3 linked regions of the Neodiprion lecontei genome follow. The main gene of each other region encodes a partner of the protein of the gene in region 2 in a complex. Links are inferred from orthologs where the notes say so. Each region holds a gene or a part of one and is shown on either strand. Other genes may lie near its edges.

Evidence for each region.
Region 1: U4/U6 small nuclear ribonucleoprotein Prp31 (region 2) and U6 snRNA-associated Sm-like protein LSm8 share a complex: the UniProt entries of both Homo sapiens proteins name them as parts of the U4/U6-U5 tri-snRNP complex. The link is inferred for Neodiprion lecontei from reciprocal best matches to the Homo sapiens genes PRPF31 and LSM8.
Region 3: U4/U6 small nuclear ribonucleoprotein Prp31 (region 2) and U4/U6 small nuclear ribonucleoprotein Prp4 share a complex: the UniProt entries of both Homo sapiens proteins name them as parts of the U4/U6-U5 tri-snRNP complex. The link is inferred for Neodiprion lecontei from reciprocal best matches to the Homo sapiens genes PRPF31 and PRPF4.

The regions. Positions count from the first base shown.
Region 1 is NC_060261.1:26,109,795-26,112,546, reverse strand, and holds U6 snRNA-associated Sm-like protein LSm8, read left to right. Parts: upstream 1-742; 5' UTR 743-860; coding exon 861-891; intron 892-965; coding exon 966-1,006; intron 1,007-1,805; coding exon 1,806-1,933; intron 1,934-2,011; coding exon 2,012-2,102; 3' UTR 2,103-2,123; downstream 2,124-2,752. Other genes in the region: THAP domain-containing protein 1-like, read right to left, coding at 1-72, 289-350. UniProt on the Homo sapiens protein: Plays a role in pre-mRNA splicing as component of the U4/U6-U5 tri-snRNP complex that is involved in spliceosome assembly, and as component of the precatalytic spliceosome (spliceosome B complex).
Region 2 is NC_060263.1:191,790-195,548, forward strand, and holds U4/U6 small nuclear ribonucleoprotein Prp31, read left to right. Parts: upstream 1-1,009; 5' UTR 1,010-1,185; coding exon 1,186-1,306; intron 1,307-1,396; coding exon 1,397-1,594; intron 1,595-1,747; coding exon 1,748-1,952; intron 1,953-2,041; coding exon 2,042-2,211; intron 2,212-2,302; coding exon 2,303-2,460; intron 2,461-2,544; coding exon 2,545-2,835; intron 2,836-2,927; coding exon 2,928-3,152; intron 3,153-3,396; coding exon 3,397-3,501; 3' UTR 3,502-3,634; downstream 3,635-3,759. Other genes in the region: cell cycle checkpoint protein RAD17, read right to left, coding at 1-93, 214-628, 718-732. UniProt on the Homo sapiens protein: Involved in pre-mRNA splicing as component of the spliceosome. Required for the assembly of the U4/U5/U6 tri-snRNP complex, one of the building blocks of the spliceosome.
Region 3 is NC_060265.1:31,360,881-31,364,639, reverse strand, and holds the start of U4/U6 small nuclear ribonucleoprotein Prp4, read left to right. Parts: upstream 1-980; 5' UTR 981-2,199; coding exon 2,200-2,731; intron 2,732-2,798; coding exon 2,799-3,176; intron 3,177-3,502; coding exon 3,503-3,716; intron 3,717-3,759. Other genes in the region: nuclear receptor-binding factor 2, read left to right, coding at 210-696. UniProt on the Homo sapiens protein: Plays a role in pre-mRNA splicing as component of the U4/U6-U5 tri-snRNP complex that is involved in spliceosome assembly, and as component of the precatalytic spliceosome (spliceosome B complex).

The sequences.
Region 1 (2,752 bases), on a different chromosome or scaffold from region 2:
TTTGGCTTCCAGTCCTCCCTCTTCATTTCTTCTAACCAATGCTGAACGCGCAACACATCTTTCACGGGAAATCTACATATCGAATTATAATTTAATCCCTCAGTCAATAATACCCGAGTTTTCAATTTCAATTATAATAAGATCGGTTCATAATTCAAATATTGTGAATTTTTACTGACAAGATTCGTACGTTATAATACTCGTTAAATATAATTAGTAAATACTTCGTATGCTGACATAACCTCTGCAAGTTATCATTTGCAGAACGCTTCAGCGTTGTATACTCACTTGTGAAATGATCGCCCACGATATTTTGATTGCTTTGTTTTGCAAAAAACGCAGGTACTCATTGTTACCTCAATAATTGTTACTGTAATTTTCCGTCGCAATCGATTATATACACATACATATATCACGTATATATATATATATATATATATATCTGAAGTGACAAGAATCTGTACAAAATGGCTACCGTTCAATTGGCGTGACGGCACCACGCTTAATCCAATCCAGTGTACATATATATCAGTGGGTCAGCGGCACCTTAAACAGCAAAAACTTACGCCGAAAGCGCCAGTAACTTTCAGTGGATTACTATGGGATTACTGCAGATTACTGCTACTGCTACAATTTTTGCAGCCCATTAAATCCCACCTCAAGACATCAGGTTAGCTGTGCGCTTCCTTTTGGTGACTTGCGGTGCTATTTATTTGGCAACTCTGCGATTACACTGATGGCGTCGTTGCAGCGTTAACTGGTGAAGTGGAAAACGCTATAATACAAACAAACAAAACGATTTGTTGAAGTATTTTGCTTCTACTGATTACATTGGCCAACCTGTTCTACCCTTACCAACAATGGCCTCAGGACTTGAAAGTTACGTAAACCGTATCCTTTTTCCTATCCGAAGTTGTATTTATAATTTAATTACATAAAGGTTATGTTTCCTCAATGTTTACTAGATACTGTTTCAATAATAACTTCCGATGGTAGGAACTTTATCGTGAGTATAATATGATCTAGCTTTTAAAAAATTTTTTTCTGTGAAACGAATCGCTGTGGTGACGCAGTCGCGAACCGATAGCGTAGTTATTAGCTCGTGTGTGATTTCGGATAGCAACAGAATATCGTAATTTATTAAATCTGACGAGAGTATGACGAAGCCCAACTTGCTCTGGGAAATAACATAAAAAGTTGGATTTCACTGCACCATCTGATGGAGATGCTTTATACCAAAAAGTGTGTTCCTGTAAAGCTATGAAAATTTACTGGCTGCCAACCACGCTGTTGTCTACACAGTCGTTCTCAGCTGCCTAGGCACTGTGAATCTAGCCTTTTGTAGGACGAAAAATAATTGACTAATTGTATAACTCTTGTACATTAATCAGTCTTAGGAGAATGCTATAATTAATCTTGATTGACAACATTAAATGTCATTTACTTTGGCTATGATCACAGCCTACAAAACACTGATGTGAAAGTGCCACAGTCAGCGCAGTACTACATGCAATGTCTAACCAAAACATCCAAACCTTTGTTGTTTCATACAAGAATAATACCAAGAAGTGTATCCTTGCAATAAGTGGTGATATAATTACAGGAATACATTTCTTCAAATGTGACGTCAAAATTTTTTTTTGGCTATTTGTAGTCAACATTGGATGTAGCATTGTACTGAGTGTAGCATTTTCACATCAATGATGCGCAGGCGTCGATAATAATAAAAATCTTTATTATTTATCTATTCTATTACTCCTATTCATTAACATCATCGAATATTCTGAACTATGTTTATGTTTCAGGGTACATTGAAAGGATTTGATCAGACAATCAATTTAATTCTTGATGAATCACATGAGCGTGTGTACAGCGTGACGCAAGGTGTCGAACAAGTTGTATTAGGTCTTCATATTATCAGAGGAGATAACGTGTATGTACGCACAATAAAATAATGTACATTTTCAAGAATGTCAGTAATTCATGTAAACCAATATTCCTGTATTTACAGAGCAATCGTTGGTGAGCTAGACGATGAGATGGATGCAAGAATTGATCTTTCAGCGATCCGAGCTGAACCACTTAGCTCTGTAGCGCATTAAAATAAATTTAAAAAAATTTTAGACAGCGTTTTTCTGAATACTCCTTACTTTATTCCACATTTTACTAATTGGCAATCGTGTTCTTACAACATATTTGGTTTTTTTTTTCAATGCACTTTTAACTTTAAGGAAATGTGCCTGAATTGAATTGAAACAGGTTATTTATTTTTGATATCAAAATGGAAATAAAGAAAAAACAACTCAATTTTTCTCAGTGCCCTAACATGATTAAGTCATTGGAACTGTAGTTATAACACCGGGAGCACTGTTGGATCAAATAAAAATATGAATAAAACGGTAGGTTAATAAGATACTGCTGATTATTTCAAGTCTCGATCTTGTAATATTACCCACTAATACTTTACATAAATTATAAAACACTTGTATTAAAGTTAATTATAGGCATATTATTCTATAGATAACGATATTAATTTATTTTCGATTGCATGATAATATTATTTGCGATGGAAAAATGAGTAATGCTTATAGCCGAAAAACGATGTTATATAACTATATCTGCATAGATACAAACGTTTTAAATAAATTGTAGCACTGATAATTCTACATAGAATAATTAAGTTTCATCATATTTGATTCAGGAAATATACACTATTCACATATCACTGGGGGAGTCATTACAATATGTATAT
Region 2 (3,759 bases):
GTAGGCGTCTGCAACAATCTTCAAAGAGAGAACCGTATCTTGTAGTTCTGACCATAAAATCTTGAAATTTGTCTCCTTGCCTCGTGAATCTATCTATGAGAAGAGGTAGTAAATTATTTAAGGAGTATTTATCATCAACATCAAGTGTTTCTCCTATTTTTAATCATTGAAAATAAATGTCTTTTATGCTATCGACAGTATTGATCAACCTACTATTTTCATCCGCGCCTTGATCAGCCGGTGTGATCCATTCGACACATTCAAACTCCTTCTCTTTGGCAAGTAGTTTAAAGCTAACGGTTTTTCCACAACCCGAAGGACCAGAGAGAATCAAAGCGCATGGCTTGCTCTTGATAGTTTTATATTCCAACCAATCGTATATTTCTCTTTGTTTTTGTCGGCTAATAGATAACTCTGAGGCTTCTTGAGGTTCGCAAGCTTTGAGAAGAGCCGGTAAGCTGTTTATATGTGTTTTTTTGTCATAAATATCAATCGTTCGTGACACTCGGTCTAGGGACGGTACTTCTGTTTCTATTTTCGGTCGCTTCGCAGGTGTCACCACATCTCGCTCACTCACGTCACAGTCAAAGGACCATGACATCCGACTACCTTTATTCTTCTGTAAATTCTAACGAATTTGAAAATTTGTGAGATGACTGTGGCACGTGATAAGTTTGGATCTATTATGACTGTTTTCTGTATTCAATGCTTATTCACCTTTGAACCGGACATGTCTGATTCATTTGCGGAAATTCCTGGACAGGGACTGTGGTTCGAAATTACTTTAGGGCGTGCCTAACTGGGTTCTAGATCTAAATACTTCCTGATTGTTACCTGCCGCCAAACTTCAAAGTGACAGAATGTTCGTTCTTTGGTTCATTCAAGTTATTCGCTTGTCTCTGCAGCCATCTGTAGCTAAATACAGGAACAACGTGAAATCGGCCATTTTTAAATACACACAGTGGGCATTGGCTATTGGCACCATTAACCTCTGTTTATGATAAACGGTTGAGCCACGAATAGTATTACTTCGCGGGTTGAGCACAGCAACGTCGCGCGAGACTTGGTGAGACGTAAACAAAAAGGTTGCTCAGATTAGGATGGAAGAAGTTTAGGAATTGAGGTTGAAGTTGCAGAATCCTCCAAGTACATACCTCTTGAAATAAACTTCCCAATTAATCCAAGATGTCTTTGGCTGACGAGCTGCTGGCCGATTTGGAGGAAAACGATGACGCGGACAAGTTTATGGAAGAGGCTGAGCCGGAATTTATTCCACCTGCAGCCGTTGCTAAGACGATTGAAGAAGGTCAGGTTTACTATCCACGGTCTTTGTTGCATATACATATCAGTTACCGGATAATTCAGACTTCACATTAAATTCGATACTTTATTACAGAGGTCAAAGTTGCTTCCGTTCGAGAACTCGCAAAATTGCGCGACTCTCCGCAGCTCCAGAAAGTCGTTTCTCTCATAGACAGCTATGGCAAAATACCAAGAAAGTCAGCCGACATCGTAGGTCCGGTTGAATCCGACCCTGAGTATCAGCTCATCGTCGAGGCAAACAATATTGCCGTCGATATCGACGATGAAATTGGTAAGTTTCCCGCAGATTGCAACAGCTTTAACACGCTCAATGGGTGGTTCATTTTGTAATTGCCAGTCAAAAAGTAGGTTCTGGTTAGGGCAATGTGACAAGTTTTAACGGATACCAAATTTTGCCAATATGTATAGGTCCCTAATTTTTCAGCAATCATTCATAGATTTACAAGGGATAAGTACTCCAAAAGATTTCCTGAGCTGGAGTCGCTGGTAGTTGGTCCATTGGAGTATGTCATGACAGTTTGTGAATTAGGGAATGATTTGGATCGAGCTAAGAACAATGAGAAGCTGCAGCAGTTCTTAACGCAAGCTACTATCATGGTGGTGTCGGTGACTGCATCTACTACTCAAGGGTGAATTTTCCAATCAAGTTTAGCATCCTGGTTAAACAATTGCTGACTATAATTTTTTTTCATTCAATAATCTACGTTATATTCATTAGCCAACTTATGACTGAAGAGGAAAAAGAGGCAATTTGTGAAGCCTGCAATATGGCCGTAGAACTGAATAATTGCAAGCTGAAAATATTCGAATATGTTGAAAGCAGAATGGCCTTCATAGCACCGAACCTTTCTATAATCGTTGGAGCTTCGACGGCGGCAAAAATCATGGGTAAGTGAGGTAACTGTGGAAAACAAAGTCACTGTATCAATTTATTATCTTGAAAATTTGAATTCGTTTTTGTCCATTTCAATTGTTACAGGGATTGCTGGCGGTTTGACAAAGCTATCTAAAATGCCAGCTTGCAATCTTCTGGTTTTGGGCTCCCAAAAAAAAATGCTTTCTGGATTTTCCCAGGTGGCTGCCCTCCCCCATGCCGGATTTATTTATTATTCTGACATAGTGCAGGACACACCGCCTGTAAGTGTTTCAATGATTTCTTCCACCTTGCAATCTGATCTATCTTGATTTTTGCTCAACTTGGACTTGCTTTTGTGCTCACAGGACTTGCGGCGAAAGGCAGCGAGGCTTGTCGCCACAAAGAGTATGCTGGCTGCGCGAGTCGATGCTTGTCACGAGAGTACGGATGGTCACATTGGCCAGGCACTGAGGGACGAAATAGAAAAAAAATTGGATAAGCTGCAAGAACCCCCGCCAGTAAAATTCATAAAACCTCTTCCAAAACCGATCGACCCTGGTCGAAAGAAGCGAGGCGGTAAACGTGTACGGAAAATGAAGGAACGATATGCGATCACAGAATTTCGAAAGCACGCGAACCGGATGAACTTCGCCGACGTAAGTCTTTTCTACAGTTCAAGATATCAGGCCGTCGCAGATTTCAGAAATCTTGAGAAAAATTGCATTTCGTTATTTTTCTCCCTCCGCAGATTGAGAATGACGCTTATCAAGAGGACTTGGGTTACTCCAGAGGGACTATTGGCAAAACGGGAACAGGCCGTATCAGACTACCTCAAATTGATGAAAAGACGAAGGTGCGGATATCGAAAACTCTCCAAAAAAACTTGCAGAAGCAGCAGCAATGGGGCGGCAGTACGACAGTCAAAAAGCAGGTTTCCGGTACCGCGTCGAGCGTTGCCTTCACCCCGCTACAGGTAAATTCTCACGTTTTTTATCTCTGGGATGACGAAAAATCTCAAAGTTATCAACGTTAAAATACATCAAGTCTCCGTCATGTTTTTATACTCACAACTCAATTCATAAAGTCTAGTATAGTTACGAACAGTACAATTATATTGATTATTGATTCTTTTTTATTTTTTATTTTTTCTTTTTCGTTAGTTTCTATGCGCTTCTGTATAATTGGACAATAAGTATAAACACTCAATTCTTTATCAGGGTCTGGAAATCGTGAATCCTCAAGCAGCAGAGAAGAGAGTCAACGAGGCGAATGCAAAGTACTTTTCAAACACTGCAGGTTTCCTCAAAATAAAAAAGTCATAGTTTGTGTTGATCATCTTCGCTTCGTCAACATTAAAAATAATGGCGCTCATATAATTCTACCATTTGGAGCATAAGTATGTAGGTAAGAGTAAATTGTCTTTTATATAAGGGAAAATAATGATGATAAAGATAACGACAGTCTTAATCGCATTATTCAAAGTTAGTAAAATTAGTTTATATCCGATGGCGAGTGTTCTTCGCGATTCCATAAATTTTATTCGACGGCCTATGTTTCAAGTAGATATACCGAGTGCTCTA
Region 3 (3,759 bases), on a different chromosome or scaffold from region 2:
ATTATACTGAAGCTTGGTAGCAATGGTTATAGCATTGTTAGGAGGTTATTGTTCCCCATCTCACCGTAAACCCTTATCAATTGACTATAGTTGCTCAAGTAATCGTAATTTTTCGTAAATTTGTTCAGTCGAGCTGTAACTTTCGGAAGCTTCTAGTTTTGAATTTGAAAGCGATTCGATATATCTGAACACTTCGATTACTTTTACAGAATGCAGCAGGTTCAATACGAAGAGTACAAAGCAGCATTGGAAACACACGAAAAAGAACTGCTGTCTAATCAGATTGCGAAGCACTCTGCAAATTTGAGTTCGAGGAACTTTGTCACCGTCGACAAAGATGACAAGTTTCTTCATCAAGCTATCGACAGAGCAATGGATGAACAAGACAGTTTGATAGACCTAATATTGACACCGCAAAATGAAACCATACCGGTAAAACGTCCAAAAGATTCAGCTGTTGTGCTAGAAGAACTGCGAACAGTCAACAGCCAGTTGCGACTGTTAATCGGAACACTATTGAACCAGCTCGACTCTAGTCAACAACAGATTAAAGTACTCACTGAACAATTGAGAGCAGCGACAGCCCCTGACAAGGAGTCCCTCCACTCAAACACTGAAGATAGTTCAATAAGTCTTGCCCCATTGCCGCCGCTTGCCCCGTTGGAAATGCCGTCCTTTGACTTTGCCACTTCGTAATAGGGAAAATATTGCATCTTGGATGTGCTTAATATTTATCTCTTTAAAATCAGTCAAATTTTTGTCACAGTAAGAGGAAACAAGTATCAAGTGATAATCTCACAATAGTATTAAATATTTAAGTAACATGTGTACCAGTTTCGTTTTTTCTTTAATTTTACCACTTTGACCATCCGAAAAATACAAGTGTTGTAAAGGTTCAATTACTTACTTTGCTGAGGTAACAGTCAGTGGCGTACATAGTTGAAACACTGTTTAAGGCTTTACTGTGCATATACATATATTGGACAGGGTGCCCAGAATCCGGGAAAACCGAGAATAATCAGAGAATTTCGTCTATTGGGCAAAGTCAGGGAATTATGATGGAGAACGGTGAAAAACGTAATTTTTTATAAATAGTTTTCAATTTCAACTATGCTTCGTAAATTCAGCTAAGCTAACATTCGGAAATGATATTGTTCAATTTGTAATTATTTATGTGAAACGAAACCCCACTGTTCTTGAATCCAAATTTATATATTTCAGGTGCATAATTTCTGGAGCTTTTGGTCATAAAAGCCAACTAAAGTGACCTAAGGTTTATAGAAAAAGATCAGGGAATTTTTAATTTTTCGACGGGAAAAGTCAGGGAAAAGTCTAGAATTTTATTTGAGCAAAATTGTCGCTACCCTGTTGGAGTTTAAAAAATCAGTGTAGCGTGGTTGCAAATTTCCTGAGACATGCTTCTCGCACCTTAAGATATTCATAATGTCTTCTTTTTTAATTCGTGGCTATATCCCCTTAGGGCAAGTGCTAATGATTTGTTGCTTCACAAAACTTTCACAAGAATATTGAATACTCAGCATGGACTACAGTTAATCAATTGCAATGGCATTAGACAAGAATGCAATAATATGGTTATAGCTCCGAGTATGAATGCTGGACATAAGGGATATAAGTCTACCTGCATAAGATTGTGTGGGACTTTGCTTAATTATTTTGAACATTTTAAGTCGACAGTTTTCAACTTTCTCAAAGAACTCAAATCACACTGATTTGCATGTGTATATATACATACATATATCAGTGCCCGGGATGCCTCGCGAATCGTGCATGAAACCAATGTTAGAACTATACAATTTATGGACAAAGCTGGAGACCCCCCACCTCCCGAGTTTTCAGACCTGTAAGTACGATCGTGCTCTAGACTGATCTGTACCATCGGTGAAAAAGTAGTCTATGCCTGGAATAGCGTCCAGTATGGCTGTCAATGATAATTTACAATAACGTGACTGTGTAACACTTAATATTCGTTCGAAAAAAGATGAATTGATTGCAGCAAGTGAAATCACTATAATCAAAGAATACTTTGCTTTACTTTATAGCATTTCTGTAGACCGTTAATTCAAAACTTCTGTGAATGGTCGTAGCCTAACCTAGATTATAAACGTTATAAGCCGCATTTTGTGAAGTATTTAAACAAAATAACGTATTTATACATTTTTTTACTTGGATATAATTGAAATGTCCGACGACGAGGACCTTGTTTATGTAAAAAAGCAAAAAACTGTGCATTATGGATCCCTTGAGGAAGCTGAACGTGCCCGGCTCACAGCTACATCTGCAGAATCTTCAGATGAGGAAAGAGATCATAATAGGAGTCCATCAGATACGCCAACAACTGCTGCTGCCCTGGGAAATGTGCACATATCAAATGAATACATGGAACTTGAAGATGAGATGTCTAAAGACAGGCAAGCTTTGCTCGAAGAATTTGAGCGGAGAAAAAAAGCCAGGCAGATTAATGTTTCCACCGATGATTCGGAAGTGAAAAACAATCTGCGCCAATTAGGGGAACCAATTTGTTTGTTTGGTGAAGGCCCAGCAGACAGAAGGTCCAGGTTGAGAGAATTATTGGCTAGCTTAGGTGAAGACGCTATTAAAAAAAAACATGAGGACGAGGAGCGGCCATTGCATCAGACAGAACGAGATGCGGAATCAACTTGGTACCACGAAGGACCAGATTCCCTTCAAATTGCCCGCTCGTGGATAGCATGTAAGTATCAAAACGTATTGATTCAAATCAAAAGTTTGCACTGTAACAGTTATGTTTTTTTTTTTAGCGTATTCACTTCCCAGGGCAAGAGATCGGCTTGAAAAATCTAGAGAAGAATTAGAGCTTCCAGGGGCTACACGTACTGCACGTCGGCAGGAACTTCTGAAAAAATTACAGGCTCTCAGCATTTATTGCTCCCAAATTGGAGACAGCCGTCCCATATCATTTTGCCAATTCAGTCCGAATTCAAAATTACTGGCAACATCTTCCTGGTCTGGGCTTTGCAAAATTTGGTCTGTACCTGAATGCTCAATTGCCAGAACCCTCAGGGGCCATACCTGTAATGTAAGTTGTATTGTTTTCCATCCGAATGCAACACTCACTGAAGACATGCTGGGAGAAAATGCGTCGCCTACATGTGTTCTAGCAAGTTGTGCTTCAGACGGTAATTATTGACATGGTGAAGGACATGTATTGTTGACTCATGAAGAAATGCATCTATTTTGTAATTCGATAGCAGATTTTTTTATAGCTCACCAGAAATCTGTTCACATCAAAATTACACTGCTTATTCACATGAGAAAGTATTGCTCATTTGCATGCATAAATTCATCTATGCATTCTTAAATCGGTCATATTATCAGTCAGTGATTGACTTGCTCATACTTACAGAGTGGATGCTCAGCTTCTTAACTATAAGATTGTATTATGACTGGTCTGTTGCTTAGCTGATTTATCTATATAGTCATCTCTATCTTTATGTTCTCCTAGGAAGTGTTAAGCTGTGGGGTGGAGGCAAAAGTGAAGAGCCGTTAGCAGAAGTTGAAGGTCATGAGCCCCATAGAGTATCAAGGATTGCATTTCATCCATCGGGTCGCTTTTTAGGAACCTGTTGCCACGATGCTTCTTGGCGACTGTGGGATCTGGAACAACAAGCTGAAGTTTTGCATCAAGAGGGTCATGCCAAGGCAGTACATTGTATAAGGTTGATACTATTATATAGTTTTACTATTCTTGAAGAAATTTTT